4 linked regions of the Xenopus tropicalis genome follow. The protein of the gene in region 4 interacts with the protein of the main gene of each other region in a biochemical or structural test. Links are inferred from orthologs where the notes say so. Each region holds a gene or a part of one and is shown on either strand. Other genes may lie near its edges.

Region 1 (8,682 bases), on a different chromosome or scaffold from region 4:
CATATTTGTGGGCAATAAAAAAAACAAACACAATACAAAACATACATTAATGGTAGAGAAGCCCTTGGGCAGTAAAAGCTTTTGAACAGTATTTGCTGGTGGACTTCAAGTTAAATATTCCTGATCTAGACAAATCCAAAGGGACTTTCTTTACCTTGACAATTGTCAATCAGATTCCCAACTACAGACAGATTTTGCCCTTCTTGGAGCTCATCAGTGTAGTGCAGGGTTTTCTGATAAGCTTAGGCAGAGCCACACGTGTGGATTCAAACAAAAGGAATTCTGAGAATGAAAGCAGAAGCCAGCATAATACCTGATCAGATTCCCAACTACAGACCTGTTTTACCCTTATTGGGGCTCATCATTTGTGAATCCACACGTGTGGTTCCACCTAAGCTGATCAGAAAACCCTGCACTACACTGATGAGCCCCAAGAAGGGCGAAACCGGTCTGTAGTTGGGAATCTGATCAGCTTTTATCCTGGCTTCTGCTTTAAAAACCCAGTGGGTGAGCTTTAGCCTCTAGGATAAACCCATGTAAATGGGATTTTTTGGAATCCTTAGGAATTCATTCCCAGAATTCATTTTGTTTATTTGAATCTGTATGAAGCTGTCTCCTCAACCCTAATTATTTGTTTGTGAATCCACACGTGTGGCTCTACCTAAGCTGATCAAAAAACCCTGCACTACAATGATGAGCCCCAAGAAGGGCAAAACCGGTCTGTAGTTGGGAATCTAATCAGCTATTATACTGGCTTCTGCATTAAAAACCTAGTGGGTGAGCTTTAGCCTATGGGATAAACCCATGTAAATGGGATTAGCTTAAAGGAGAAGGAAAGTCACAATTGCATCACAAACCTGCGCTACTTCAAGCAGAAAGCCCACAAAATATAATGAAATGTTGCACTTGAAGGTAAGACCGCTTTCTTACCAAAAGTATTAAAATGAATACAACAGAACAAAGTCCTTAAATATTAGCAGAGTCCATGTCCATACATGTGTGTTTATCGCCACAGAAAACCTCAACCACTTTCTATTCATTTCTACGGGAGTTTTTGAAGCATACTTATCAAATGGTGAACTCTTACTTTCCCCCAATAAAGTATTTTAACTTTACTGTGGTGAGCTCCAATCTCACACTTTGATAAATCTGCCCCTTAGTATAATGTGTTTTGAACCTTTATCTTTCCCATGCTTGAATGCTTTATACCAGTAATCCCCAACCAGTGGCTCAGGAGCATCATCACCCCCTTTGATGTTGCTGCCAGTGGCCCTAAAATAGATGCCCATTTTTTAGTTCCTGGCTTGGAGGCAAGTTGCAGAGCCTCCTGCAGGTAAGCAGTCCAGATGGGGCTACCAAATGGCCAATCACTTATTTGACATCCCCAAATATTTTTTTTCATGCAAATGTGGCTCACCAACACTTTCTACATCTAAATGTGGCTCACAAGTAAAAAGGGTTGGAAATCTCTCTTTATACCTTCAAACTTCTAGGCTGCATTTACTCTAGTTGAGTGAGTCTGTAGTCATGTAGGTTCTAGATTTTCAGTACAGCTGTATACCAGAATCATGTAATATACAAGGCATGCAGCATTCTTTGAGGCCCTCAGGAAATAAAACTGTCAAAATTAACCTGAAGTCTGCTAACAGTTAGAGGCAAATATTTAAACTCAAGCCATGTCTAGCTTGTGCATTCTTCTTAATATAAGACTCTTTCTGTTAGACAAAGACTATTATGTCCTAATTACAAAGAAAAAAATATTTTCCCTACACCACCATATGCTTGTAAAAAATCAATTAGATTAGAACTGTGGATGTTACCAGTGAAAGTAGTGTTACCATATAAGTAAAATATTCAGTAGAGGTGATTTTTTATTTTGATTACTTATTATGAAGAAGTAGATGTAGTGGCAAGCAACTTTTAATACCACTGACATTAAAGGAGAAGGAAAGTTATTTTGGCATTTTACTGCCAATAGATTAGTGACATTAGTGCAAGCTACAACACTATATTTAGTATAGCAGAAAGCTTTACTATACCTGAGAAAACAGCTGTAGAAAGCTCCCTCCATTTGTTTAAGATAGCAGCCATTTTAGCTTGGTCTCTGTAGCTTCTGGTAGCATAGTACACCTCTAAAATCTGATGGGAGGGGGAGTGAATTCTTATGGGAGGGGGGAGCAAGAGATGGGGGAGAGCTGCACAGACTTAGGCCCAGGGAATGAAGGATTTTTCTGAGAGAGGAAGTCTGACACTGAATAACATGTGTACACAAAAGAAGACAAGAAACCCTGTGTTTCTTTTGATAGAGGGTGCAGCATTTCTGTGAGTGCTTATGGCTGTGTTAACATAGACCTTTCTTATAAAGCTTACTTAGTTTTTCCCTTTTCTTCTCCTTTAAGCAACCATGCTGCTCTAGATAGTTTAGTTCTGAAAGGAGCTGGGCACAACCAATGTGGGCAATTTTAGCCAGATAACTGAACTCACCAGATACTTGGAATCCACAAACGCTCTTAATTCAGAATGGATGTACAAATGCTGAGGTCAACAGGAATCTTTTTTCCCAACCCCTGAAGCAGCTCCTTTACACTCGGAGCAGGAACAGGAAAAAAGGATGGGAGAAACTTACATAACACATAATGAATGGGAATAGGGGGGTTTACAGACAAAGACACTAAACACCTTGTAATGCGCCATTGGTCACAAGGTGACCATGTAACAATATACATGCATATAAAAACATTTTGAATTACATCTTCAACATAATAAATAACTATTAACTACTGGGACGGCACTAGGGTTGCCAATAAAGATTTTGTGTAATTTCGCCTGGCCGTTAAAGATTTTGTGTGATGTTAGTGTTATTATTAGGATAAAAAGGCAAAAATATAGGAAGCCATTTTTTCCACAAAAGGTGGCAACCCTTGACAACACACATTCTACAGCCCACAGGAAGGAATATTGTACCTTTATTATCCATGGTAAGAATCCCTTTTTTATACTTCAGTTATGGATATAACTAAAACTATTGTGTTATACAGATGCAACAGTTTATCTTCAAAAATGAGCCTTTTGTCTTTCAAGAATACATTTCTGACTATAACTTAGGAAACTGAAACTCAGATGAGTTGAAGTGTAATTCAATATTTAAACACAGTAAATGAGCCTGTTTTCAAAGTAAAGTAATCAACATACTTTATGTAAGTACAGCTGAAGGACCAGCATATTTGTAACAGCTATAGTGGAATAAATGATGCATATCAGTGAGAGCTGTCATAATGCTTGCCTCAGTTACTGTAAATATTTACAATATTTAAGTTCCCCTAGGGGCCATAAATAGGTGGTACTGTTTTTATCTATGGCACTTTCCATTGCCATGGCAACAATATGGCCACTCACACACATTTACTGTATATCAAGGTCATTATGTAGAGAAGGAATGTTTTGTGTACAAAAGATATGCTCTCATACTGCAACGCAATGCTTACCTATATAAGTGCAATTTGCATTCATTTATATGTAACAAAAGATATTGTGAGAGCAGTAGAATCGGTAGAATCTGTCAGTATTTGACACAGACACTCTTGCCACTCCCCCAACAGCCTGCAAAATTATTTTGCTGGAGGCTACAACATTCTCTCCCCATTTGTTGGGAGGCGCCTGATGAATCAATCATTCAGAGAACTGTATGGAGCTTAGCGGTGCTCAGCCACAGCATGTTTCTCTGTGCTTTGATGCAGACTGGTTGGACTGGTTTTTGGCTGACTGAGGAACCGGTTTGACTGGACTTTTATGCCAACAAATTCTGGTATCATTCCATGTTACACAGAATGCTGAAACCTGCCCAGCAAGTTGAATGAAAGGCATATTAGGATATCCATTGCACATTGTATGTATGTGAGGCGCAGCTTAGCACACATGCACTTCAACAACACTTGCCCTAGGATGGTTCAGTCTGAGTTCTTCTCTTAGTTGCCTAGGTAGAGGCTGGAAGGAGAAGAAAGCAGTAGACACTAAGTATCCCCAAACAGCTACTCACATACTTCAGCTTAATGGTAAGCTCTGTCATTTTTACATTTTTATTGTCTACTTATTTTGTTGTTGTTATATTTTTCCCAGTGCATCCGTTTAAATGTATGGGTGCAAGGTCTAGGGTTTGCTCAAAGAAGTCAAGGTTATGGTTGAAGGCCATATTGTTGCAATAAAAACAATTAAAAATTTGTACCTGTGACTAAAATTCACAACATTATCTGCAATACTGTATATGTTTTGTTTGGCTATACAGAGAAAAGGTATTAATGGTATGTTATATTTAAATGTATTAACTGCTTTTGAATCAGTCACATTTCCTAGCAGTAAATGTAATCATTAATTTAATGGAGCAAATATTGTGTAACTGTGCAGTATTGCCAATGAATTCACATTGCTTATATTGTATTGCAGTTTTAGTTCATTTTTCTGCTGGTCAGACAGTGTGAATGAAGCCCAAAGTGCATGCATAGTAACAGGGGCATATTCACAGTCAGGTAATGGATTAACTCTGTCCAAGGTTAAGTATTATGCACAATATAAACTAAATAGAAAGGAATGAAGGCAGGCAGGCTGTTTCATGCCTATGTGTCCTGGAACATTCTTTAGCTCAGGACAAATGGAATCTGCGAATGATTTAAATAAATGATAGAATGATAAATGGGGACTGTTGGAAGAAATACACCTGTGGGGTCGCAGAGTTTTCGGCACAACTTTGCACAAGGCTTTTTGATTTAAAGAATTATCTTGTTGGCAAAATGACATAAGTACTAGTCTTCCGGTGTGTTTCAGGGAATGTAGTTCAATAACAGCCTGGGGGCAGAAAGCACAATATCTTTTGCCTAGATCACAACCTCTAGGACAGAAAACAAATGTAACCTATAAATATAAACTTTAGCAGCCAGGGAAAATGAGTCTGGTTGTTTTCTCTTGGCTTTTAAATTGTGACAATCTCATTAAAAGTGTACATGTGTTAATATTGAGGGGATTACTGGTGTTCAGAAATAACCTAATAAAAAGATTGGATCTTCTGTTATACTGTCTTTAGTCATCAGCTATCACTTATTTCCTTCCTATCTTTGTTTGTAAGCATTCTGGAGCAATGTCCTCCATTCTTTTCTAGGGATGCCTGAAACACTGCCATATACATACAGTACAATCTGCCATGTGTTTCCACCAAATAGTTGGCACCAGAAAATTAGAGTATAAACTTTTGAGCAAACTTGTGCCCTTGTCAGGATGGATGAAGGGTGAATGGAGCATGAATTTATTATGGTAGTACATGTATAGTAAAGGATTCCCCAAACACCACTTTCATTGAAGCATCTTATTCACATGCATTTGGTATTTTATGGCATATGGTATTTTAATGCATTTAAATGTGTGCACATTTATGTAACTATGATACTAAATGAAGCCCAGTATGTCCCTGCATGCCATAGCATCAAGTGAAAATTCCTTATACAGGTATTGGATTAGTTATTTGGAAACCCGTTATCCAGAAAGCTCCAAATCACAGGAAGACCCATAGACTCAATTTTAATCTAATAATTTAAATTAAAAAATGATTTCCTTTTCCCTGTAATAATTAAACAGTACCTTGTACTTGATCCCAAATAAGATATAATTAATTCTGATTGAAGGTAGAACAATTCTATTGGGTTTAAATTATTTTTAGTAGACTTAACACATGGAGATCCAAATTACAGAAAGACCTCTTATCTGGAAAACCCCAGGTCCTGGGGTTCTGGATAACAGGTCCCATACCTGTATTATATAAGCATTTGCATTAATAATAAGAAATCCCATTATAGGCCTGTCACCTATTCTCTAGCAATATAGGAAGCTTTCAAAATTGCCCCTGTCCTCCTCTGGTAAAAAAAACTGTGCAACGCAGCCAAGGAGCACCACAGGGTAACCTCTTACCTATCTGCATATCTGCTTAGTACAATAGTGTGAGAGGGGTGGAACATTCACATGCAGCCCACATTATACCTGAATGTCCCAATTGAACTAGGTGTCATATTATAGTTAACCCTGGCATAGGTTTCATCTTGTAGCTTCTGTATTGGCAATAGTCTAAACAAGGAAGTGGGGGAAACATGGAGTCCAACGGAAGGTACATTTTGGCCAAATTATTAACACTGCTCCTTTGTCTACTCGTGAGATATTTCCATTACTGTAATGCAGTTGTTAAACAAGTACTTTCCATTACTCCACTTTCGAGAGTGCCATTGAAAAGTATAGCACTCACTGCTAGGATTCCGTACATGCTCTCAGTAGGTGTGGTACCATTAACCAAATCCCCCAAAATTCTCTTTGCTTTGCTCTAACATGCCTTCTAGCACCCTTAAAGTAACTTGTTTTTCATCAAAGGGTTATATCTGAAATATTTGAAGAGAAATACACTCTACTTCAAAGATGTGTTTCTCTATTTATTTGCAGTAAGAGCATATAGGTGTAAATGTCAATCATCCTACACAAGTTATATAGCACTAGAACATTTGTGCAACTCTTTACAGAATGCTCTGTGCATACAATAAGTAATATCTTAATATCAATTCAAAGGGGATACAAAATACAGATATATAAGGTCAATGTTTCCTTTAAAGGAGAAGGAAAGTTACAAGCACTAGAGGGTTCCTAACCTTTTTTGGCACCCCCCAGTTATTGCAGTTGGTATGCAATGGGTTATGTAGCCTGAGCACACCTTATGACTGGTTTCATATCTGCCAGTGTTTTTCCTTTTTTCAGATGGCTATAAAAATATTTATTTAAACTATAGGCAACTTTAACCCTCAAACAGTTTTATGAACTTGTGTGAGTGCTGAATTTAAACAGGTATGGATATTCTCTTTGCCTATAAACACATGACTGTAAGCACAATGTGAACTATTAAATACTGGAATGTCACCTACGTGGAAGCACCAGTACTTCAGCATATTTTGCATCCTTTGTGTTTGCCGCTATCAGAAGCCCATATTATGATTTAATATTATTTACAGTTAATTAAAATAGTGTGTGGCTTATTTTGGGCAGAGAACATTATTTGTAAAAACTGATATATTGCTAGCACTACTACTGACAAGCGCAACAAGCATATATACCCAAGAGTGCCATCTCCTGGTCATAGATGGATAATGCTTTTTTGATACAGTCTTTACAAAATTTCTCAGCAGATGCACTAAAAATTGCAACTCCTGGCAATATGTATAGATGAAATACTTATAAACTTGGTACTTGTATAACCTTGGCAACTAACCCAACTAGTCTTAGCAAACTACAAGTTTGTTTTGTGGGTATTCATGCATCTGGGCAGGGCTGCCATCAGAAATCACGGGGCCCATCACAAGAAAATTTTCTGGGCCCCCCTCCACCCACGTCCTGCCCCTCAATGGCCCCTCCCATTAGTAAAAAGGACACACAGACATTGGTAGTCAGGGCCCCCTAAAACAGTGGTAGCCCGGGGCCCCCTAAAACATTAGTAGCCAGCATCTCCCCAGCATCCTCCAGTTAACCCCCCTCCCTTGTCCTCCCCCTCAGCATCCTCCAGCTCCCACCTGCCCAAGCATCCTCCGGCTCCCCCCTGCTCCCACCAGCATCCTCCAGCTCCCACCTGCCCAAGCATCCTCCGGCTCCCCCCTGCTCCCACCAGCATCCTCCAGCTCCCCCCAGTGGCTTCCTGCGGTTCCCCCCTCTTGATATGTGCCCAAGCTCCCCCCAACATCTGCACAGCTCCCCCAGCATCCTCCAGCCACCCCACCAGCGACTTCCTTCAGCTCCCTCCCCACCAGCGACTGCCTCCAGCCCCCCCAGCAACTTCCTCGAGCTCCCCCCCAACAGCGGCTTCCTCTAGCCCCCCCAGCAACTTCCTCCAGCCCCCCCCAACAGCTACTTCCTCCAGCCCCCCCAGCAACTTCCTCGAGCCCCCCCAAACAGCTACTTCCTCCAGCCCCCCCAGCAACTTCCTCCAGCCCCCCCCACAACATCAGCTTCCTCCAGCCCCCCCAGCAACTTCCTCGACCCCCCCCCAACAGCTACTTCCTCCAGCTCCCCCCCCAACAGCGGCTTCCTCCAGCCCCCCCAGCAACTTCCTCCAGCCCCCCCCCCACAACATCAGCTTCCTCCAGCCCCCCCCCACAACATCAGCTTCCTCCAGCCCCCCCAGCAACTTCCTCGACCCCCCCAACAGCTACTTCCTCCAGCTCCCCCCACAACATCAGCTTCCTCCAGCCCCCCCAGCAACTTCCTCCAGCCCCCCCCCACACAACATCAGCTTCCTCCAGCCCCCCCAGCAACTTCCTCCAGCCCCCCCCAACATCAGCTTCCTCCAGCCCCCCCAGCAACTTCCTCCAGCCCCCCCACAACATCAGCTTCCTCCAGCCCCCCTAGCAACTTCCTCCAGCCCCCCCAGCAACTTCCTCCAGCCCCCCCCCACAACATCAGCTTCCTCCAGCCCCCCCAGCAACTTCCTCGACCCCCCCAACAGGTACTTCCTCCAGCTCCCCCCCCACACCCAGTGACCCTCTCCAGCTCCCTCCCAGCGGCTTCCTCCAGCTCCCCCACAGCGACTTCGTCCAGTCCCCCGCCCCACACCCAGCGACTCCCTCCAGCTCCCATGCGGCTTCCTCCAGCTCACCTTCCTCTTCTGCGTCC
Region 2 (8,512 bases), on a different chromosome or scaffold from region 4:
TAAAGCAATAATTTACAGCAAGAATGAAGATTTGAAACAGTTCTTAGTTTTATTAACATAATTTTTCAGGACAGCAGCAGCTATAATTCAAAAGGGTCAGAAATCCAACTATAGCTTTTGATAGTGAAGTTTTATAAATCTGTACTAGCATTTGGCATGCTTTACCAATGCAACTTTACAGTCGGGTATTTAGCTGTCAGTTGACTTTAGCTTGGTTTACTGAAGTGAATCATGACTCAGCCTTGACATGAAGCCTTTGGGAAAGGAAAAGACAACGACAACTTTGGGAAAGGAGCAGACTATTAACCCCCTTGTCCTATTTTCCTGTGTAGTAAGTACTAAATGTGCACTAGCCATTGGAGTCCTGGGTAAAACAGATTAATGAAGCAGCATGTTTGTCATGAACAAACTATAACAAGAAAGGTGGCATTATATTAATAAATAAGACATTTCTGTTTGGGCATTTAAATAGAGTATGGCTGCAATGAATGCATGTATAATCAATATACTAAGAAAACCTCAAGAACCTACCTGCATGTTCTAATATAAACTCTGAATGGAACAACTGCTTGTTTTGCCTTTTTTCCTAAGTAACTTTTGCAGCTCTCTGTATTTGTGGATCTTCTAGGCACCAGCACTGTGCAAGAAACGTGCCATCTGAAAAAAACACAGCCATAATCCAATCAAACTGATAGACAGGAAGGGGGAGCTAGTCAGGCACTGTTTCACATGATTCGTAGTTGCCAAGGATTAGATTTCTCTGACGTCTTTAAATGTAGGTTGCCCTCGAACTGGCGATTTTAGTGAAGATTTATCTGGGAATCACAAGAAAAGTAACAAGTCTTCTTTCTCCAGAATATATATACACTTTCATACAGTCAAAGTGGTTCACTCAAGAAATTTGCAATCAACAGGGCAAAACTGTATGCTGTATCTATTTTATTGAATTATTGTATCAGTGCACATCAAACACCAATATGAGAACTGGCGTGCAGGAAGTGATACCATCCTCACTCTACATATGCCACCCATACTTTGCACCCATTTCACAGAAATTCACTAGGTAATTAGCATTTGTTTTGGTGGATTGCATGCATTTGTACCAGATGCAATTTAGCCCCTGGCTGTTGGAATTCTCGGAAAAACACAGAATTTTGGCAACTGGCATCCAAGAAGTGCACTTTTCACCATGTGCTATGTTCACAATTGACTCATATTGTGTCTTATTTAAACAAGTAGTTAAAAAATGTTAACTGTTTTTGCTTTTTCTCTTCGAGGAAAAACAGTATATTGTACTGACGGTAACTAAACTAGCATAAATCCATATTGATGGCAAAACAATTGTTGGGTTGTTATTAAGGCACAAAGCTCCAAATTACAGAAAAACCCCTTATCCAGAAAACTCCAAGCATTCCCATAATAGACTTCATACCTGTGTTTACAGAATTTCCTATGCAAGCATGACAAGGGGCAAATGAGAGGAAGGTAGGAAGAGCAAGTTGATCTACCCAGGGGAAACCTGCAGCACAGAAACAGAATCTACGGCAGGGATTCCCAACCTTTTATACCCCTGAGCCACATTAAAATGGAAAAAGTTTTGGAGAGCAACACAAAAAAAAAAGGTCCTGGGGGTGTAAATGAGAGCTATAATTGGCAATCTGACAGCCCCTATCTTGACTGGAAGCCTACAGACGGCTCTGTTTGTCAATTACACTGGGTTTTTATGGAATCAAAGCTTGCCTCCTAATCAGAAATTCAAAAATAAGCACCTGTGCTTTGAGGCCACTGGTAGCAACATCCAAAGGGTTGGTGAGCAACATGTTGCTTATGAGCAACTGGTTGGGGATCACTGATCTAGGGGAACAGCAAAAGTTCACTCCTACAGCATTAAGTCCCAAAGTGTGCAGAGTGATTTTCCCTTTGGACGAGGTATTATGTGAGAGTTGGAAGGAAAGCTTGTATAGCTCCACCTGGTGATGTCATACCCTATGAGTGGGTTAGAGTCTCATATAAACAGGTATATAAAGTGACCCCTGGTGTGTACAAAATACAGGGTATGAGTCATTATCTTTCGCTTGGATAACCCTTAGAGAGTGGGGATGTGTGTTTAGAGAATAGGGTAAAGTTAAAGTGAAGAGTGCCCTGCAGTAGTGAAGGCCTTGGAAGAAGTTGGAAAAAATGGACCTTCTAAATGGGTATTAGTCAGATGAGGGATAGATTTTATGTTCAACTTAGCATGACAAGGGTTTTTAGTGAGCAGTTTAAGGTTCCAGCATGAAGTGGAGTTGCTTAGAACCCTTGGTGTATTTCACCAACACAGGGACTCAAATGCAGACTCAGTGTAGAAGTGAATCCTTTGGTATACCACATTAAAAGGTTCTGGTATGTTGTTTAAACTGTATATTTGTGTATTGTTGCTATTAATATTGCAGATAGTGAATCTGTTACCAGTGTGCTGTGGTATCGTTAATTCATATTTCCCAATTTGCATTTCTAATCATAAGCTCATGGCAACAGCCTTTAACTCTCATTGTTAGCTGTTTGGCAGAGAAGAGACTAAGTGACTAAGTTTGGAAACACCTACGAGGGCACACTATCAACAATGGCCCAAGATGCGACATCTGTGATGAGCACAACCAGCGATGATGTGATCACAACCAGCGACATCTGTGATGAGCACGACCAGCCCTAATACCACAAGCATTAATAAGTCCATATTACTGCCAACATGTGGTGCTATGGTGAAGTGGGTGGTTCTCCAAGAAGATACAGGGGGCCTGAATTATGATTATTCCAGCAATCATAAATTAGGCCTCAAGTATTTAGGCTGTGTATTAACTTTATACTGTAATCTAGGTTAAAAAAAGACACACATATATAGCGTTCAAGTTTTAGGAGCCCATTCATTAAAGAAACTAATTTTGGGTGGTTACAAGCATGGTTGGCAAAAATTCGGAGTAGCCACGATAATTTCTGATGTGCGAAAATGTCACGAAGATTTTTGCTCCATTGAACGAAAATATCGTGGTTGCAATCCAAAAGTCACAAAATTTTCATATCCGAACAATTGTAAGCGACGCGAAAACCTTTTTGGCTTTGAAACTTCAATGCATGATTTTGGAAGCCTTGTCAATGGCACTCTACAGATCCAACTTGGGCAAAAGACAGTCACAATACCAATGCTTGAATGAATTCCAAAATGGTTGTAGTCTCTGTGAAAAATACAACATTTTCGTGTAAGTTAACGAAAACCACAAAAAAGTTGTGCAATTTTAACGATATTAACGCGGTCATTACGAAAAGTCCTATAAATTAGAAAAAATATGATTTTTTTCTCAAAATAAAAACTTGTGATTTAGTGAATGGGCCCCTAAGGGCAGCAGGAATCTGCTGGTTAGTTAATCCAGAGGAAGGCAAAAACCCCATTTAAAGCCTCTCCAATTTGCCTCAGATTGAGGGGGGGGGGGGAGTCCTTTAAATTTTACTTAATTAAGAGCTATGTTGCAGATAGGGGCGGGTTAATTAAAGCAAGTAAAAACGAATTTAAATAAAGAAAGAAATAAATATAAAGTGAGTTAATAAAAAGGTCAGTCTGTTACTGCCTGCGAAAAAAGGCTTATACTAGTATTAGTGATACTAGTTACAATTTGCAGCATTGCCTTGAAAACAACACACGGAAACGCCGATAGCTGTAACTCATGACAAAGCATAGAAAGAAACGCAGCAAGTTACAGCTGAGAATGTGCAAACGAATATACAGGAAGTTTGGACACCAGGGCCTCCGTACCGTGTTTTTCTCCCGCCTCCGTTACGCAAATTCGGATTCTGTAGTTTTTGGGGGGTTTTAGCTCTGGGACTGAGCCGGTACCATGGCTGCTGACCCCGGGCTCGAAATGGCCTCCATGATCCCGGCCTTGCGGGAACTTGCCAGGTAAAAGCTCCCGGGCTGGACATGACTTCGGGCTGCCAGTAGTTGTGGAGACAGTTCCACCTCGCCAGGTGTTTCACAGCTGCAACTCCCTGTATCCGCTAGCTAACCGGGGTGCCGGTGTTTGATTATTACATATAGAAAGACCTTATGTGCTTCAGTATGTGACTATGACTGGCTACAGTAATGATGGAGAGGAAACATGGCTCAACTAATCCCTCTTGCAAGTCTTGTTGGGCTAATGATTTCTCTGTGACTTGAGGCATGTGCTGTTCTTCAGTACTGGGTTTGATACTTCCTTGTGTTCCAGTGAGTAAGTCTGCAGGGATGTGAGTGCAAGCAAATGTATAAATTCACTGCTTGCATCCAACAAGTACCAGCAATGAGCTGCATAGTAACAAGTGACAGCTAAAGTGATGCTCACACATACAGCCCTGTTTGTTAAAAGAAATGACAACTTTAGGTTCCAGCGAATAGATGTTTAATAAGTATACTATACAGTTAGACAGCAACTGAGTTACAGCTGATTTTAGTATTCTCAGATTTCAACCACAGCACCATCAATGTCCTCCAAAGGTTATCTGCCGAGAGAATCATGTCTAATGGATATCCACTGGTGCAACATTCAACAAGGGTATTAACCCAGTACATTCCTTGCTGGAGCCTCACTAGGGCTTTCTATATCATGCTGCTACTGTATACTTAGGATTTAACTATCAGCCGGCTATTCCATATTCCCTGTCCCTCAGGCTGCTGGGGGGGGGGGGGGTTCTATTGTCGAAGCTGACTCTGCAGCTGTAGTTGGGTCTAGGAATGTAGAGGACTCAGTGGGGTCCCAAATAATAAAAATAATAATAATTACATATATTAGTAAAACAGGACACTTTATTATAGGGTCACCAAAATAAATTTTTGGTCGCAACTAGTGACATTGCCTGGGGCCTACACCTACCACAGGCCACGGACACACATATACACTCACTTGGGGGAACCACCTGACACTTCTGTACCAATAATATTTTAACCGTCAACAACATATTGTATACATTTTAAAGAAACATTTACCCAGTCTGACAACTTTATAAGAAGTTCCATATTAAAGTAGAAAGAGTTTTTTGCTGTGAGGCTGTCCATCCATATTGTCTAAGAAGTTAGTGAATAATTATTTATTTATTGAATATAATTAACCTTCCATTTCTTAATTAACAGTGCGGAGGCAGATGAATATAACACTATTGTTCAGAAACCAAGACAAATCCTTTGCCAGTTTATAGACCGGATTCTGACAGATGTGGACGTTGGTATGTCTTTTAATTTATATGTTGCATTACATTCTTACAATGCTGACTCAGTTATTTGATCCAAAATGCATCTATGTATTAATGGCACACTTGTTGCCCAGGTGCAGTAAACCATAGCAACCAATAAGATTTTTACATTTAAACAGGTGGCCAGTAAATGCCACCTGCTGATTGGTTGCTACAGATGTCTAGACCTTATATAAACTTATTATAGGGGATGGCCACCTTTTTTAGATAGATTTAGATTTAAATTAAAATATTATAACAATAATCACACCGTGATTGACAATAGAATTAATGGTATGCAGATTGATGACACAGCGACTGAGCATTCTCAACAAGTCATTTGACAAATTTTCATGAAAAATTGAGAAATGCATTTCACTGCCCTCTAAAGGGAGATGATCTGTCTCCTTTTGTCCTAAATTTGTCTGGAGCCTTGCACTGTCTGGTTGAATGTGCTGTAAGGGTTACTGTGTCTTTTTCCAAATCTGTTCCAACAATAGGGCAGTTTAACGTATACACAGAATCTCATAAGCATCTAATGAAATAGCTCATTACTTTAATTACTGACATGCTCATTTGTAAATATCCTTGAAACATGCATAGCGATACACATTATTAACTATTGTGTACGAGTGAAATGGTATGTTAAACCTACATTAAACATACAAGAAAAAAGGTTTCTTGTTTATTTTACCTTCCTGCTAAACCCTTTTTTTCCATTGTGTGGGATTTATCTGGAGACTGTAACATAGACTGATCTATCTGTTCTTATGTGTTTGCACAGGCACCCTTTTATTGGATCTGCTCATGCTTGGTTTCCAAAAACGGGAAGGTCTTAGGGTAGCAGGGATCAAATAACAAAATGATAAATATAAATATGGGCTTGGGGGCTCACCTATCATAGAAAAGCTGAAAATTAGTTCAAATATATTGCAGCTGTATATAAATAATATGTTATAAAGTGCCAGATGGCTGAGCTGTAAAACAACTTTCCTACTAAGAGACCTCCAGGCATCTAAAATGTTTAATCTGCAGGGTTTAAGGGTTCATTGTCTGTGATCGTTCTTATTGTACTGTTTAGGCTAATTGTCATGCAGAAAAAAAAAATCATTATCGTGTATTTCTGTTTGATTATAGTTGCTGTGGAGCTGTCAAAGAATACTGATTCTCAGCCAAGTTCTGTAATGTTGCTGGATTTTATTCAACACATTATGAAATCTTCACCATTAATGTTTCTCAGTGCAAATAATGTTGATCAGTCTGCCGAAACCAATCAGAACTGTGTTGGTGAGTTTTTTTTGACTGTTCATTGGGGATCATTGGTGGCTACTCCAGATAAATGGTTAATGGAGAAAAAAAGGTGAAAACTAAACACTGTACTGCTCTGTTAAAAGAAACACTGCTTTTCTTTCCTTCTATTCTGTACACATGAGCTTCTGCATTAGACTTCCTTCTCTCAACTCAAACCTCCAGGGCTCGGGCTTGAGCATGAGCAGCTTGCTCCCTTCTCCCCCCCCCCCCTCCTCTCTACTGTAATCTGAACACAGAGATGTAGGCAAGGAAATGAAGTCAAACAAAACTAAAATGGAGAAAGCATCTAGGGCTGTTTTCTCGGGTATGGTAAAGCATTTTTTAGAATAAACCTTTCCTTCTTCGATAGGCAGCTCATGCTTTCATTTGTCCCTTAAAGCGATATGTGCGGGTAAAGGGCATTAAAGGAAAACGTAAAGCTTTACATTTTTGTGTATATGGGTGTCTTGTTCCTATGTATATTGGTATAGAATGCACAGTGTTTGTCATATTAATGGATCAAAATGGGTATTCCTGCTTGCATAACACAATTCCATGTCAGACCTTACTAACCACAGTCCTATCCGTGATACACAGAGTTACTTATTTCTCTATATACAGCTTCATATGTTTAACACAAAGTAGACTTCATTAAACATGTTAAGGCTTTTTTCTGATCACAAGGCACAGTGCTAGCATCAAATTTTGATTTAGAATCATGGCAATTAAAATGCACCAGTTTTAGTCTCTCTATGCTCTGTACAATAGTGTGCAAGGTGCAGTGTACTGTGAAGGAAGGGAATGTTGTACTGCACATCTGCCTGGAGCTACTGGTATTTCTAGCATCAAATACTCAATCAAAGATGTTATTCATTATGTGCCATCGGGAGTCCTCTCATTGGTACTGTTAATTTACTAAATGGGACACAAGTTTTGCGCCTGTATTGATGAATATGATGTATTGTGTTGGGATGCTTTCTAAAAACACATTATGGGTAAAAAAAAATTCGCAAATATCTCTGGAAATGTGATTATTTGCAGTGATAATGACTCATATGTTATCTGTGAACACGTATTTATATGTGAAAAATGTTCTGACTCACTTTTTTTTTTTTTTTTTTTTAAAGCATTTAGCAACTGGATCATTTCCCGGGTCCTACGCATTGGGGCTACACCAAGCTGCAAAGCTTTGCATAGAAAAATTGCTGAAGTCATCCGCTCCCTGCTTTTTCTTTTCAAGAACAAGAGTCCTTTCCTATTTGGTGTTCTTACAAAAGATTTATTACATCTTTTTGAAGATCTTATCTGCATACATGAACAGAACATGGAGCAATCCATAGTTTGGCCTGTGACCGTCTCTAGATTTCTAAGCAATGCATCAGAGAACCAAGCTTATTTGCGATGCGCTCCATTTCAACTATTAAACATGCAGTGCATTGAGCCTTTAGAATCCACTCTGCTAATGGTTTTGATGGATAATGAAAATGATATCTTTCCGGTGTTTTTCCAAAGGCAGAACCTCCTTCTTTGGGGCATCGGGTGCTCTCTCTTGGACTATGGAACTACACCACTTAAGATACAAGCGTTACATTTTTTAAGAGAACTAATAAAATTAGGGGGTCCACCAGAACAGGGTGCATATTTTTTCTTTATTGTTTTTTTTGGGATACTAACTTATATAAAAGACATGGATTTAGAAGAACTGTCTCTCTATGAGATGCCACTTTTAGAATTAGTAAGGGTTTTGTTCATATTTGAATCTAAATCTTACCTAAGCATTGAACCTGTCTATCTAAACATGTTGCTGGAAAAACTTGCTGCTCTCTTTAAAGCAGGTATCCTGAAGAATATTCAGTCAGCTCCCCTAAAAGAAGCTCTTTGCTATATGGTCCATTATTTCCTTAGTGTTGTACCTCCAGGCTATGAATCTGCCAAAGAAGTTCGTGAGGTACATGTTCGCTGCATCTGTAGTGCTTTTGTTGATGTC
Region 3 (7,887 bases), on a different chromosome or scaffold from region 4:
TATTTTAACATCTTGCTTCTGTTTGGTTTTGCGAAGAGAGAAAGATGCGGAACTGAATCAGAAACGTCCTCAGTATATTAAGGCCAAGGAAAACACTTCCCACAAAATCAAAAAGTTGGAGGCAGCCAAAAAATCCCTTCAGAATGCCCAAAAGCAGTACAAGAAGCGTAAAGCAGATATGGATGAACTGGAGAAGGAAATGCTTTCTGTAGAGAAGGCTCGGCAGGAGTTTGAAGAACGGATGGAGGAGGAAAGTCAGAGTCAAGGACGGGATCTTACACTGGAAGAAAATCAGGTAAGGTCTTCTTGCGTGCTGTTCAGCTTGACTTATGTTTAAGGGAGCACTGATTTTTGAGAAACAAAAATGATCTTGTTAGGTCAAGAAATATCATCGCCTAAAGGAAGAGGCCAGTAAGAGAGCAGCCACTTTAGCCCAAGAGCTTGAGAAGTTTAACAGGGACCAGAAGGCTGACCAAGATCGACTTGATCTGGAGGAGAGGAAAAAAGTGGAGACAGAGGTTTGTGCCAGTGATGACTTTTTAACCATTGTGTTTTAAAATATGAATGCCAATTTTCTAGTTCTTGGGAGTAGGAAATAGTCACTGAATGGAATATGCTCCTTCTCTAGGCTAAAATTAAACAGAAATTGCGTGAGATAGAAGAGAACCAGAAGAGAATTGAGAAACTCGAGGAGTACATTGCCACCAGCAAGTATGTGATGGTTGTTTGTTTGTAGTCTTCCACAATCTTTAGGACTGGTAAGGGACAACATAGCTACACATAATCACCTTTGTCATATTATTTCTTACAGGCAGTCACTGGAAGAACAGAAGAACCTGGAGGAGACCTTAACTGAAGAGGTGGAGCTGGCCAAGCGAAGGATTGATGAGATTAACAGTGAGCTGAATCAGGTGATGGAGCAGTTGGGAGATGCTAGGATTGACAGGCAAGAGAGTAGCCGACAGCAGCGGAAAGCTGAGATTATGGAGAGCATAAAGCGACTGTATCCTGGATCTGTGGTAAGTTTGATTATTTGGAATTTTCAAAAGGCATCTGTCCCCTCTACATATTGACACTCAGTTGATCATGGACAATGGAAGCATTAATTTATCCCTTTTCTATTCCTCAGTATGGTCGACTGATTGACCTTTGCCAGCCCACCCAGAAGAAGTACCAGATTGCAGTCACCAAGGTGCTTGGAAAGAATATGGATGCTATCATTGTTGATTCAGAGAAGACAGGAAGAGACTGCATCCAGTACATCAAAGAGCAGCGTGGAGAACCCGAAACCTTCCTTCCTCTTGATTATTTGGAGGTTGCCATTTTACTTTATCTTATTATTGTTGAATGAATGTTGGCTATGTAGACCAAGAATAGATAAGTTTTATTCTTACTGTTAATGTGATGCTGTTTGGGTACTTTATACCTGCATCTTAACACTGATAACAGCTGATTGTCTTTTACTTACTTCCAGGTGAAACCCACAGATGAGAAGCTAAGGGAGCTGAAAGGAGCCAAACTGGTGATAGATGTTATCCGATATGAGCCTCCGCATATCAAGAAAGCTCTACAATATGCCTGTGGTAATGCCCTGGTCTGTGACAATGTAGAGGATGCACGCAGGATTGCTTTTGGAGGACATCAAAGGCATAAGGTGAATATTAGGCAACTCTGAGCAGAGTGAATTGAATTTTAAGCAATAACCATTTCTTTATTTGATGCCTGAGATGTTAGCTGAATTTCTAGTATTATATGATCTTAGCAGGCTCTGAATAATGTGGTACATTTTAACTAAAACACTGTATCTTCTTGCTCTGCAGACAGTGGCCCTGGATGGAACCTTATTCCAGAAGTCTGGTGTGATCTCTGGAGGTGCCAGTGACTTAAAAGCCAAGGCCAGGAGGTGGGATGAGAAAGCAGTGGATAAACTCAAGGAGAAAAAGGAGCGCTTAACAGAGGAACTAAAGGTGAGACTTAATCAGAAGAAAGACACGCCAATTAAGTATTTTAGAAAGCTTGTGGAGGTACCAGTCACGTTTTTACCTAAGGAGCTAAAAATCTTGGTTACATGGCTCAAACAAAGAGAGTCTCACAGACAAGGGCTTATCTCTTATAGGAGCAAATGAAAGCCAAACGCAAAGAGGCTGAACTGAGACAGGTGCAGTCCCAAGCCCATGGTCTACAGATGAGGCTGAAATACTCCCAGAGTGATCTGGAACAAACCAAAACCCGGCATTTGGCTATGAACTTGCAGGTAAGTAGCCAGATTTGCAAAAAAACTTATTTTGCTGTCCATATATGTTCTATTATATTCTATGCATTTGTCAGCAGTTGTCTTGTGGGCACAGTGATCTTGGTTGTTCACAAGCATGTATTAAAATCCAACATCGAGGGTCCACAGTGATAACTATTACCTCTAGACAGTGGTAAATGTAATAGATGTCATATATAAAAAGAAAATGGGCTGATGGGAATTGTCTGAATTAGATGAGGCCCAGCAGGAGATCCCCTGGTCATAGTGTCTGAGATTTCCCAATCTATTTATTTCTTTCCTCTCCCTAACAGGAAAAATCCAAGTTGGAGAGTGAACTGGCCAATTTTAGCCCTCGTATCAATGATATTAAGCGGATAATTCAGAGCAGAGAACGGGAAATGAAAGATCTGAAGGAGAAAATGAATCAGGTAAGGAGCAGTGTGAACCTTAAAGGAAATGTAACTCCTTCACAAAATTACACTTACTCAAAGTTTTTTTTTATTTACTGTGTTTTATTGTTTATTTATATTTTTGTTCACCTGTTTGAGTGGTTGGGAATAAGAACTGCTTGCTTGCTTTTAGTTGTCAGAATATTGGTAGCATTTGTTAGTCCTACAAGGACCCAATACACACTTGCTTACGTTAGGTTGAACAGCACAAGAGGCATCATTCCCTCCCTTAACTGCTGCTATACGTACTCATCACCTCAGACCTTCTAAAGATGGCTGCTTGCACAACCTATCTGATATTGGTATTTAAAGGGGTTGTAAAGTCATCCAATTAAGTTGAGGGATTTTGATAGATTTCCTAAAAAGAAACACGTTTTAAATATAGATGCATATTCTCTTTCATTTTAGGTGGACACAGTCACTGAAGGGTTAACACCACTTTCTGGGAGGAAAGGACACTAAAAGAACAAGCGGTGGCAGTTATTCCAGGGGGCCAGGCTGCCTCTCCCAACAGGCTACACCCCCCTGTGAGGGCTGGAACTACCCAGTTCTTTTAGTGTCCTTATGGAAGGAGGATGACATAACTCCCCTTTTTTCCTATTTATTTTACTTTATTTTTTTTTTTCCCAATTTCTTCTCCCACTTGGCAGTGATTTGGCAGTCCGGGACCATAAGGGTGCTTCTGCACCGGACCTGCAGTCAGCATCTTCACTGCTTCTCGCTCCCTCCCTTAAGTACTGTAGCGGGTAGCACTCTTCTTCCACCCACTCTACCCTTGGCGCCTATTCTTCTCTCCTTTCCTTCTCATTCTGGATCCGCTGCACTCTGCCAGGAACAGACAGCTCAGGGCAGATGTCTACCACAGCAATCTCTTCTCAAAAACGTCCTAGAGCTGCAAGCCATTTGCCTAGCTCTCTTACATTGGACAAATCTTGTCAAGTGCAAGCCCATCAAAATTCAGGCCGACAGTGCCACTGCGGTGACATATGTCAATCATCAGGGGAGAACCCGCAGCAAGGGTATAGTTCAGGAGGTTTTCCGCATCCTTGCCTGGGCATAGGAGAATGTTCTGGTGATATCAGCAATGCACATCCCAGGAGTTGACAATTGGACAGCAGACTTTCTCAGCAGAGAGACCCTAGACCAAGGGGAGTGGGCTCTTCACCCAGAGGTCTTCCAAACTCTGATCTTGCTCAGTCTTGTGGCCTCCAGAACCAACTCCAAACTTCCAAGCTTCATGTCTTAGTCCAGAGACCCAGTCACCATAAGAGTAGATGCTCTCACAGCCCCCTGGCCCTACCAGTTTGTTTGCATCTTTCCTTCTCTTCCTCTTCTCCCCAAAATTCTCAAGAGGGAGAAGGTCAGGACCATCCTCATTTCTCCACACTGGCCCCGAAGAGCCTGGTTCACCGACATCAATCTCTCACAGTCCACCCTCTTTCCTCTTCCAGACTGGCCAGATCTCCTAAGCCAAGGACCAGTGTTCCACCCAAATTTTTCAGCTGTTTCATTTAATGGCCTGGCTCTTGAAACTCTAGTTCTACATCAACATGGGTTTGGGGATAGAATTATCACCACTATGATTGCTGCCAGGAAACCGTCCCCTTTGCATGTGGTGGACCTACAACTCCTGGTGCTCAGCCCAGGATCTCCCTCTCCATCGTTTCAACACAGCCCACATCCTTGGTTTCCTTCAGCAGGGTCTCGACAAGGGCCTCATCTCGCCTTTCTCAAGGCCCAGGTCTCTGCCCTTTTCTGTGCTATTCCAATCCCAGATTGCTCTGGATACCCACGTCGGGCCCTGCTACTTCGGGGTGGGCCTCCATCTGGTACTCTTTCTTCCAGGGGCCCCCTTTTGAGCCCCTTGCAGTGGCATCCGAGACACTTCTCACATGAAAACAGCCTTCCTGCTCGCTATCATGTCAGCCAGAAGAGTCTCCGAGCTTACAGCCCTGTCCTGCCAACCTCCCTTTCTTACTTTCCATCAGGACTAGGGTGGGGGAGTCTCCCCCACCCTTGCCTTCTGGGAATTCTTCTCACCCCATTGCACAGGGCTGGATGTAAAAAGTTGCCAACGCAGAGTTCAAACATACCACGGTTATATTTTTTTTTATGTATAAAGTTATTTTCTTCTACCGTCTTTAGTACTTTCTGGGTAGTTCCAGTTCCTTTCCTTATGGAAGGTGGTGTTAATCCTTCAGTGCTTTTGTGTCCCCCTTTCAGTGAAGAGTGAAAAGGATTTTACAGGTAAGACAAAAATCCCTTTTTGTTTTTCTTACTGTTGTAAAAAGAATCAATCTGGTTTCCTCTGCTGCAACAGGCAGCCTCCGTCAACCCCCCTGCTTTGTTTCTGATGATATTGGATAGGTTTCCTACTGAACAGGATAGCCGGTCGCCACTTAAGTTTACTGAACAGCTTAGGAAGGGGCTGCCTGCTATTGCTGAAGACACTGGATCATTTATCTTTACAACTGTAAGAAAAAAATACAAATATTGCAGGTATATGGGAAATGTACTAAAGCAGTCTGTACCTAACATATACCATTATTGTCTTCCAGGTGGAAGATGAGGTTTTTGAAGAGTTCTGTCGGGAAATAGGTGTCAGAAATATCAGAGAGTTTGAAGAGGAGAAGGTTAAGAGGCAAAATGAGATTGCCAAGAAAAGGTGGGTGCCTTTTGCATCAATAAATAAAAATGTTTGTAAGTATTCCTAAGTGTGATGTCACATGGGACTAATGTGTAGTAATAGGGCAGGCACTATAGTTGCAGGTCCTTGGGAAAAACCACTAATATTCTACTTCCACTATACAAACTCTTTTCTGCAATATTCAGTTATTTATGCTGCTTTTCAGCACACAATTGAAATAGTCTTCATTAATGTAGATTTTTATTTTTTTGCATAATCCATTGATGATGTCTTTTTATTTCACAGACCTTAGATCTTGATTTAATTTCTGCTGTTCTTTCACTACAGGTTGGAATTTGAAAATCAGAAGACCCGTCTGGGCATTCAGCTAGACTACGAGAAGAACCAGCTGAAAGAGGACCAGGGCAAAGTGCAGACATGGGAGCAGTCTGTAAAGAAAGATGATAATGAAATAGAAAAACTCAAAAAGGTGATGATGACTGTGAACGAAGAACAAAATACCAATTCATAGGCTTGTTCGGGCCTACTGATATTTTTGTGCTGTCACATCTTGACACAAAATGTGCCCACCGAAAGTTCAGTGGAATGGTATATAAAAGATGGCACCTTTAAAATACTTTAAAAACTTTCTGTATACTTAGGAAGAGCAGAGACACATGAAGATAATCGATGAGACGATGGCCCAGTTGCAGGATCTGAAGAACCAGCACTTGGCTAAAAAGTCAGAGGTGAACGACAAGAACCATCTTATGGAAGATATCCGTAAAAAGCTGGGGAGTGCCAACAAGTCAGTACCTCCTTCTCTGTTTGCTTAATGAAGTCTGTAATGAAGCACAACGTCTCGTCCAATATAATGTAACAAATGCATGATTATTCTTAGGGAAGTCACCCACCTTCAAAAGGAAGTCACCGCCATTGAAACAAAGCTCGAACAGAAGCGCAGTGACCGCCATAATCTGCTCCAGGCCTGCAAGATGCAGGATATCAAACTGCCACTGTCCAAAGGCACCATGGATGATATCAGTCAAGAAGAGGTTTGAATATTCTTTGTCCTTTTATTTTCCCTTTCCCCTTAAAGCAATCCTTATGTATGGCAGCAATCCTTATGATGCAGCATCATTTCTCTTTCAGGGTGGGTCTCAAGGAGAGGAGTCTGTCAGCAGTTCCCAGAGATCCTCTACTGTTTATGCAAAAGAGGCATTACTTGAAATAGATTACAGTGACCTCTCTGAGGATTTGAAAGTAAGTACAATTTTTAACAGACAATTCACAGAATTAAATGTGTGGCTAAAAAGGTAGTTGCTATGCCTTTCTGCATGCATGCTGGGTAGTTTGCTGTATGCTTGTCTTGGTTATGAATCCTGTTTTCATAGGTGGAATTGATTTTTCCTTTTAGGATGCAGTGGCCGATGATGACATCAAACAGGAGATGAGCGCATTGCATCAGAAGCTAAATGAGCAGCAGAGCATCTTACAGAGGATTGCTGCTCCCAACATGAAGGCCATGGAGAAACTTGAGAGCGTCAGAGATAAGTTCCAAGAGACATCAGACGGTGAGTAATGCAGATGCAATGAACCTACAAGGGTTTGCTCCGGTTGTACAATGTAGTTGTAGTTCAAAATGGCAGCAAATATTATGTGTGTTTAAGTAGTAAAAAATTATTTTACAGCTGACCTTCTTTGCACTGTTACATTATTGGTGCTTGTTAGTTTCATGCTGATGCTTGGCTTCCAAAAGACAGAAGGTCATGGTATCGCTTTTCATTCTCAGCATTTATATACCTAAAAACAATTGTATGCAACCGCAGAGGCCTATATCCATGTAATACTGAAGCTTCAGATAAGTACGTGATTTCTAAAATTGGGCATTGCTAGCCAGTTCCTTGGGTCTGCCAGATACATAACCTTACCTATGGGCAAATATTGCCTTGTGCTTAATTTTTTTTACCAGAGGAAACTAGGCTAGGTGCAAAAACCATGCCACTGCCCTTTTTAGTTTTTTTAATAATTGGTCCATAAATTTTATGATTTTTTTCCCCTTTACAGAGTTTGAAGCTGCTCGAAAACGAGCCAAGAAGGCTAAGCAGGCCTTTGAGCAGACCAAGAAGGAGAGATTTGACAGGTTTAATGCATGCTTTGAGTCTGTTGCCACAAACATTGATGAAATTTACAAGGCCCTCTCTAGAAACAGCAGTGCCCAGGTAACAAGCTAAGACCACTATGTATTTGTTTTTGGCTGTTGCTATACTCTGCTTTCTGACACGGTTTCCTCATACAGGCTTTTCTGGGACCAGAGAACCCAGAGGAGCCTTACTTAGATGGGATCAATTACAACTGCGTGGCGCCTGGTAAGCGCTTCCGGCCAATGGACAACTTGTCTGGAGGAGAAAAAACTGTAGCGGCACTTGCTCTGCTGTTTGCTATTCACAGGTATTTTTGCTTATCTTGGGCAGCTCTGCCTAGGCAGAATGTATTCACTACTCGGCACGTACAGTACCTCCTGATTGGCTGTAGTCAAACCAGATGGGTATAGTGCC
Region 4 (7,887 bases):
GAACACCAGAAAAGATGCCATGCAGACATCAAAAATATTCAGGTCCAGGTAAAAAACTCTTCATTCTGGGGGAAAAAAAAAACATGGCAATTGCCCTTGAAATTGCAGTTGCAGACGTAAATGTGCCTATAGTGTTTCATTTTGTTGGTGTCAGCAGCTGAATGTTTCTTCTGTTGAGATCTTTGTTAGGTTTCTGGGTACATCTGATCTGGTCCTTAGAATTTCTGGCTGTAAATGAAAAATGAACTCCTATCCTTGTGCCCAGTTTCCTTGTCCAGGGCAATGCCTCAAGTATCTCTTTCTTAGTACTCATCAGCCTTGTTATGTTTCCATATATGTATATATAAATGCAGTAAGAATCTAATTATAGTTAACCTTACACTTTTAATTATAGTAGAAGCGAAGATCTGTGCCCCCAAAGATGCCCCCAGTAGCTCCCCATCTTCTTTTCTGCTGATTCACTGCCCATGCTCTGAGCTGCTGTCACTTACCTGAGCTTAGGGACCGACAGATAATTATACAGATAACTACTCCATGGTAACTCAGAAACCAGTGCAATTATCATCAGAATTTAATAATAAGCCCTGTAGCATTAACTTATATGACAGGCAAACCTCATTTTCTGCTTGATAATTTTCAAAGACCCCTAAGCTTAGCTTTCCAACAGCTGCCCAGAGTGCACTGAGCATGGGAGTATCTCAGACACTTTCCAAGATGGGGAGCTCCTGTGACAAGTTTAAAAGTCCTGGATCATTGCTGCTATTGAGATGCTGGTGCAGTAAGTACAGTGTAAAAAATATGGCATTTCTGTCCATATTCATTTTTAGGGTTTAGTTCTCCTTTAACAAGAGGTTAAACATTCCATTTGTTAGTTGATTATCCATAAGGCCCTACGCAGAATGGTTTGATATCAGAAATGCCAGTGCCCACAGTATATTATTTAAATATAAACAATTCTTCATTCTTACCTAATTGACTGTTCCATAGTAATGCAACTACAATCATTCATTATTAATACAAACTAATCCTGACTAAATTGCAAATTGGGTGTACTGAATGATTTTGGCAATTGCACACAGGATGTTTATCCGTAGCCCCTAGTTTTTTTGAGAAGCGACTTCAACCAACTTTATAAAGCGGTGATGCATATGTTTTGCCAAAATTTCCCATGTTCCTTGTCCTAAACAGCATATATTTTAGTATATTTTTTACATGTTTCTGCACATTTTGGGTGAACAACAACCTGACTCCAACATCGGTAGTTAATCACAGGATTCACCAATAATTTCTTTCTAGAGTTGTGCTGATATAGGTTACAAAGATAGCTCGTAAATATATTATGACTGGTTAGGTAGCATGAAAAAAACTAACAAAAATTGATTCAGTGGAGGGCAAACAGACAAACCTTCTCTTACAAAAATATGTTGGACACTAGGGAGACTTTAGTACATCATTATTGGGTACTAGTATGTGCTAGTTTCCTTAAAGGAACAGTAACACCAAAAAATGAAAGTGTTCTAAAGTAATTGAAATAAAATGTACTGTTGCCCTGCAATGGTAAAACTAGGGTGTTTGCTTCAGGAACACTACTATAGTTTATATAAATACGCTGCTGTGTAGCCATGGGGGCAGCCATTCAACCTGGAAAAAAGGAGAAAAGGCACAGGTTACATAGCAGATAACAGATAAGACACCATTGTATTCTACAGGGTTTATCTGTTAGCTGCTATATAACCTGTGCCTTTTCTTCTTTTGAATGGCTGCCCCCATGGCTACACACCAGGGTTTATATAAACTCTAGTAATGTTTCTGAAGCAAACGCACAACTTTACCAGTGCAGGGCAGCAGTACATTATAGTTTAATTTCTTTAAAATATATACATTTTTTGGTGTTACTGTTCCTTTAAACAGTAGTAGAAATAGATGTTTGACTACCACTTCTCTCTTCCTTCTTCTCTCTTTTCTCTCTTCTCTCTTTAAGGAAATAGATTGTTCAATACAAAATGACATTATATTGATATCCAACCTGTAAAAGTTAAAATGCAAATAAAAATCATTGAAAAGAAATAGATGTTTGACTGGTTCCTTCTCTAAAGTATGGTAATGTTTTGGTGTTGCTTTGTTTGCCAGGGATGAGAGAAACCCACCTGGTCTGGATCAGATCCTCTCTGCTCTGAATGTGTTCCTTACCAGCGCCTCAGGGAATTGCCGGATGCGAGTGTGCAGGCTGGGGGAGGACTTGTTCCTCACTGTATTGCGGATCTGGACAATTCAAAGGCCTAAAGATGCACTGAAGGAGGAGATTGTGGAGTTCTTCAGGTTACTTCTTCGAATTCATCATCCAAAAGGAGCCAAGACTGTAGATGAAGGTGCAGCTTCTAATTCCTCACATTTAACTTTCCATGCAATGCGTGGTTGTTGAATCCCCTGAGATTTGTGATATGCTTGCTGCTTCTAGAATTGTATAAGGGGTAGTTCTGAGTACATTACAAGTACATTTACTCTTTTTATACTTTAAGACCCCTTAAGAACCCAAACATTTACAGAGTAGATCGAACAAAATCTTTTCCACAAAAACTATTGCTCTGTGAGGCTACAATTTTATTGGTATTTTTACTTTTTATTACTTATTTTTTTATTTAGGTCTCTCATTCATTCATTCGTACTTACTGGTCGCTAAAGTAATTTGAATCCTAGCAACCAAATAAGTGCTAAAATTCCAAAGAGATAATTCAAAACCTCAAATTAATAGAAAATGATCATCAGTTGCAAATTGTCTCAAAATAACTGTCTACAATATACTAAAATCTAACTCAAGAGTAAACAGCAACCACTTTAATATGGGAAGGGTGAAGTGCTGAAACGTCGCTGGAAAGCTCTGATAAAGACATATGGAATTTGCTTTATTAATGTTTTTAATGATTTTATTTTTACCCAGGTGCTTACGCTTTTGATCCAGACAGATGGAAAAGGAACTTGTACAACTTATATGACACACTGGTAAATGAGATCAGCCAGATAGGCAGCAGAGGGAAATATTCCTCAGGCTCCCGAAACATTGCAGCCAAGGAAAACTTGATTGAGTTGATGGCTGACATTTGTCATCAGGTAAATTTTTTGTTTTCTGCCAGAAACTTCTGAGCAATATATATTAATTTAATTGAGCTTTAAAAATATGTTGCTGTTGGTACCAGTAAATTCTGGTCCACCAAGGAGGACAGCACCACATTTTAGGAAAACGAATAAATTCTGACCTCTTGTCTTGGTCTCTGTTGAACTGGTTTTTATCTTTTCCATTTTCATAGAGCATTGTGGAAAAGGTTATTGCTTATAGACATTAATACCATCTACCTACCATAGCCCGTTCAATGTCCACATCTGCTTTATAGTGAAAAGATCAGTCCTTCCAGCCAATAACAACCCAGTTTCTCTTTGTCCAGCTATTCACTGAAGACACTCAGGTGCTGGATATCACACAGGCTGCTTTCCTAGTGACCCAAAGGGAACCATCTGGAGCCCCCAGCAAGCGCAGAAGGATTGAACTTGGGTGGGAAGTGCTACGTGACAACCTTCAGAAGTCCCATAAAGATTTTGATATCATCCCTTGGTAATATGAACTTCATGTTTTATCATTTGTGGTTTTTGAATTATTCAGCTTTTTGTTCAGCAAATCTCCAGATTTAAATTAAAGCAGCTATCTGGTTGCTAGGATGCATATTACCCTAGCAACCAGGCAGTGGTTTGAATTAGAGACTATATTATGAATAGGAGCTTTGAAGTTTGAATAAAAAGATAAATAATAAAAATGATTAATAATAAAATTGTAGCTTGGCAGAGCTATAGTTCATGGACCCCCTATTTGGTGACTCCTATTTGGAAGCTTGAAAGAAGAAGGAGGCAAATAATTAAACTATAAAAAAAAATAAAGAAACCAAAAAGACCAGTTGAAAAGTTGCTAAGAATTGGCTGTTCTAAGCAGAAAAATGCATGTGGTCAAGATGGGTGCTCTCACAATAGTATGAGAATCCATAGGCACATAGCACTAACTAATATCTCAGTCCTAAAAACAACTCCAAAAGCACTTCAGGGTGGCCCCACTCAATATATAAATTTATACACTATTTGTGAAGCATAATAAAATAAATATTTACAAATTAGATGAGATCTCAGCATATTATAAATACAATTACTTTTGTCCAGAGAAGATTATTAGGTAACTGAAAATTATTTTCCTGCAGACAGAAGTTATAATATGCTGACATCTGCTCTTTCCTATTGGTTCAATAGTGGTTCAGTAGTGGACCACCAAGGATTATCTACTGTTGAAACAGCACTTGGATTCTGATTTCCTATACAAGAGCTGGGATTTTCCTACTGCTTTTACTTAAGTATCACAATGCCCAAGGGGGGTATGGTATGCCACCCCTATCGGTTTTGGCTAAGTTTCCTACTAGGCAGTGCCAGAAGTAGCCCTTGCCTTTATGCACCCAGGTCCTAAGTGATCATATAGAGAGAAAAATGAATAAAGTTACTTGGATTTTGGCAGTTGTGGTCATTTTGTTATTTGACAGTTTCTGTATTCAACGTTTCTAGGTTACAAATTGCAACCTGCTTGATTGCCCGATACCCAGTGAGCCTGCCTAGCAATGAGCTGACTCCATTACTGACGGTTCTACACCAGTTACTTGCCCAGCAGAGACGAGGCGAGAGGGCCGCTTATGTGCTTCGCTGCCTAAAAGAGGTTGCCGTTTGTCAAAAGCAAAAAACAGATGTGAAGATCACACCAAAATCAGATCTGTACAAACTGTGGTCTAAAATCTGGGCTGTTACGTTGCGTAGCATCAGTTCTCCCCAAACAGAAGAGGAAAGTTTTGCCTTACTGGGCTCCATCTTACAAGGAGGTCTAATACCGGCTGACACAGATTTCTGGAAGATTTTTTCAGGAGCTGCTGCCAAACCATCCAGGTGCTTAAAGAGTTTTAAGAAGAAGCTAAAGGTCGAATTGTATTTTAAAGATATGTTTCAAAATTTAAAGTTTTGTTGTGAGAATTTGCTGCTGGGACTTTTCTCCTCTATCACCAAAAAATTACCTTCAGATTTAGGGTGCAGCCATATAGAACCCTATATTCTTTCTTTTTGCACAGACCCTGACCAGTGCTGCCTTCAGTGTAATCACAGCTGTTCAGCTGTGAGATAAGTTAAGTAAATGTTATTTAGTTTTTAGGTATCACTAGGGTGTGGCACATTGCACATAATTGCATTTTTGGCTGTATATAACCTTGCAGTAAACAGAGCTAGAAACTACCTGTGGCCAATTTCCAATAGGATATAGCTCATCAGAGCCCTGGAATCAGTTAATAGAGCTTCTCTAGCAGAATCCTGCATTGAAATCCGTTTTTTTAGGGCTCTGGCACACAAGGAGATTTGTCGCCTGCGTTTTTCCTCCTGGCGCTTTGGCGACAAGTCGCCACGACAATACCCACGAAGAGATTTCATGCGAGTTGAGCTCCAGGCGATCTGCTACCCATGGTACACTCAACAGTTAACCCCCCCCTCATGTTTACTTAAGTCGCTCAGAAAAGGGTCTGTGTGCGATTTGAAACAGCAGGCGATTTGAAGTAGCCTCGTATGTTTTGACGCTGGCGATTTCCATTGGCGTCTTGTCGCTCGTCTTGTCGCCAAATCGCTCTTTTAAAAATCGCCGGCGACAAATCTCCTCGTGTGCCAGAGCCCTTAAAAACACAGATTTTTTTATATGTACTCTGATAAACTTCAGTCACACTTTACTGCTGAGCTGCAAGTTGGAGTGATATCACCCTCCTCCCAGCAGCCGATCAGCAGAACAATGGGAAGGGAGCGAGATAGCAGCTCCGTCTTGTAATTAACACTTTTTCTGCTTTTCTGCCCTCTCCCCCTTTCTCTGTGTGTTGTAAATGAGCCCTCTGGTCTCAAGTGTACAAAAAACAATGTTATGGAACTTAAAGGATAAGGAAAGCTAAATTCACTGAATGCTGCCCATATATTAGACACCCCCAGTAAATTTAGCAGAAAGGGTAGCCACGGTGCAGATGAAAGGGTAGCCATTTTGCAGCAGAAAAAGTAGCCACGTGACAGCGGAAAGGGTAGCCACTGTGCAGCAGAAAGAGTAGTCACGGTGCAGCGGAAAGGGTAGCCACTGTGCAGCAGAAAGAGTAGTCACGGTGCAGCGGAAAGGGTAGCCACTTTGCAGCAGAAAGAGTAGTCACGGTGCAGTGGAAAGGGTAGCCACTGTGCAGCAGAAAGAGTAGTCACGGTGCAGCGGAAAGGGTAGCCACTGAGCAGCAGAAAGAGTAGTCACGGTGCAGTGGAAAGGGTAGCCACTGTGCAGCAGAAAGAGTAGTCACGGTGCAGCAGAAAGGGTAGCCACTGTGCAGCAGAAAGAGTAGTCACGGTGCAGTGGAAAGGGTAGCCAAAGTGCAGCAGAAAGAGTAGTCATGGTGCAGCAGAAAGGGTAGCCACTGTGCAGCAGAAAGAGTAGTCACGGTGCAGCGGAAAGGGTAGCCACTGTGCAGCAGAAAGGGTAGCCACAGTGCAGCAGAAAGAGTAGTCACGGTGCAGTGGAAAGGGTAGCCACGGTGCAGCGGAAAGGGTAGCCACGGTGCAGCGGAAAGGGTAGCCACTGTGCAGCGGAAAGGGTAGCCACTGTGCAGCAGAAAGAGTAGCCACTGTGCAGCAGAAAGAGTAGCCACAGTGCAGCGGAAAGGGTAGCCACTCATAAAATGTGAATTGGGGTGGCCTCTGGGTGCCCAAAAATGAAATTCCGGCCCTGACTGTAGAGTAAGAGTAACTGACATGTTCCCAATAGCTGAGTATATAAAAAGTTGGTGAAATAGTGATACATACAGTATTAACCACAAACCTGATGCCATTGCAGAGCTAAAGAATATTATTAGTGTGTTTTAACACCATCATACCTGGCAGAGGAGGCAAGGTTTGCTTGAATCTGTGTGTTTCCTTGCAGCCCTGGGGTTCATTGCTTGGCTGTGGCCCTCACCTCATGTTGCCTCCCGGAGCACGTCAGTGTGGGTTTCGATAATCCCATGCATGAAGCCAATGGCACTCGAAGCTCTCTGAAAGAAGAAATCATAAAATGGCTGTTGTTTGGTCATCTGGATGATGAAATGGAAGACACTAATGAGCTTTCTCCTGTCATAAGCAAGTTAGTATACAATACATATATACATACATATACGGCTTTAGTTATTTGGGGTACATTCAAAGATGGAATATTCCATGTATACAGTGAGCAATATCCTGATTGTCTCTAACTCTTCATATCTCATGAGCTGGCATAGAAGGTATATCAAGTAAGAGTATTACAGCTCACAGCTGTTATTTGGTTCTCTCTGCTCTTTATGTTTGTGCTTCTGCATAACCTTATTATATATTATCATACACACAGGGACTTCTCCTACCCTGCTCTTCAGAAAATTCTTGTGAGTCTGACAATGAAGGACTCCAGAGCTGCTATGAAATTCTTCACAAGCCTTTCTCAGTGGTAAGGCATTATATTTCAAATTTTGTTTATTTTGTAGGAGTTTTACAGTTAAAAGAGAAAAATATGGTCAATGTATGACTTTTTCAGTTAAAGCCCTTTGTGTAGCCTTTGGTCAGGCACTCATAGCATGAGTGTTTCCCCCCCCCCCCCCATTCCGCCCCCATGAGATCTGCTCATTTTGTGAGGTCGCCAAACAAGCATATCTTCTCCAGATTTGCCCACCTAAGGTGGGTGATATCAGGCTAATCTGATTGTTTGGCCCTAGGGCCAAATGATCAAATTAAAACAGCGGGCATAGGCACCATTGGACCGAGGACTATATCAACAAGCCAATGCGGTCCTGACCTGCC

Evidence for each region.
Region 1: of the proteins of atm (region 4) and rbbp8, one has a biochemical effect on the other in vitro, tested with the Homo sapiens proteins (4 studies listed by BioGRID, with this or other methods). The link is inferred for Xenopus tropicalis from reciprocal best matches to the Homo sapiens genes ATM and RBBP8.
Region 2: of the proteins of atm (region 4) and atr, one has a biochemical effect on the other in vitro, tested with the Homo sapiens proteins (2 studies listed by BioGRID, with this or other methods). The link is inferred for Xenopus tropicalis from reciprocal best matches to the Homo sapiens genes ATM and ATR.
Region 3: the proteins of atm (region 4) and smc1a form a complex in vitro, tested with the Homo sapiens proteins (2 studies listed by BioGRID and IntAct, with this or other methods). The link is inferred for Xenopus tropicalis from reciprocal best matches to the Homo sapiens genes ATM and SMC1A.

Annotation. Positions count from the first base shown.
Region 1 is NC_030682.2:108,887,313-108,895,994, forward strand, and holds the start of rbbp8 (DNA endonuclease RBBP8), read left to right. Parts: upstream 1-3,833; 5' UTR 3,834-4,052; intron 4,053-8,682. UniProt on the Homo sapiens protein: Endonuclease that cooperates with the MRE11-RAD50-NBN (MRN) complex in DNA-end resection, the first step of double-strand break (DSB) repair through the homologous recombination (HR) pathway.
Region 2 is NC_030681.2:119,659,377-119,667,888, reverse strand, and holds the start of atr (serine/threonine-protein kinase ATR), read left to right. Parts: upstream 1-3,822; 5' UTR 3,823-3,869; coding exon 3,870-3,931; intron 3,932-5,137; coding exon 5,138-5,229; intron 5,230-6,372; coding exon 6,373-6,522; intron 6,523-7,652; coding exon 7,653-8,512. UniProt on the Homo sapiens protein: Serine/threonine protein kinase which activates checkpoint signaling upon genotoxic stresses such as ionizing radiation (IR), ultraviolet light (UV), or DNA replication stalling, thereby acting as a DNA damage sensor.
Region 3 is NC_030684.2:23,833,572-23,841,458, forward strand, and holds part of smc1a (structural maintenance of chromosomes protein 1A), read left to right. Parts: intron 1-36; coding exon 37-295; intron 296-377; coding exon 378-518; intron 519-628; coding exon 629-711; intron 712-811; coding exon 812-1,019; intron 1,020-1,129; coding exon 1,130-1,315; intron 1,316-1,474; coding exon 1,475-1,654; intron 1,655-1,820; coding exon 1,821-1,967; intron 1,968-2,116; coding exon 2,117-2,254; intron 2,255-2,565; coding exon 2,566-2,682; intron 2,683-5,261; coding exon 5,262-5,368; intron 5,369-5,677; coding exon 5,678-5,819; intron 5,820-5,991; coding exon 5,992-6,137; intron 6,138-6,230; coding exon 6,231-6,384; intron 6,385-6,481; coding exon 6,482-6,592; intron 6,593-6,746; coding exon 6,747-6,903; intron 6,904-7,396; coding exon 7,397-7,551; intron 7,552-7,628; coding exon 7,629-7,780; intron 7,781-7,887. UniProt on the Homo sapiens protein: Involved in chromosome cohesion during cell cycle and in DNA repair. Central component of cohesin complex. The cohesin complex is required for the cohesion of sister chromatids after DNA replication.
Region 4 is NC_030678.2:159,879,299-159,887,185, reverse strand, and holds part of atm (serine-protein kinase ATM), read left to right. Parts: intron 1-2,130; coding exon 2,131-2,369; intron 2,370-2,938; coding exon 2,939-3,108; intron 3,109-3,440; coding exon 3,441-3,607; intron 3,608-4,593; coding exon 4,594-4,965; intron 4,966-7,000; coding exon 7,001-7,198; intron 7,199-7,441; coding exon 7,442-7,537; intron 7,538-7,887.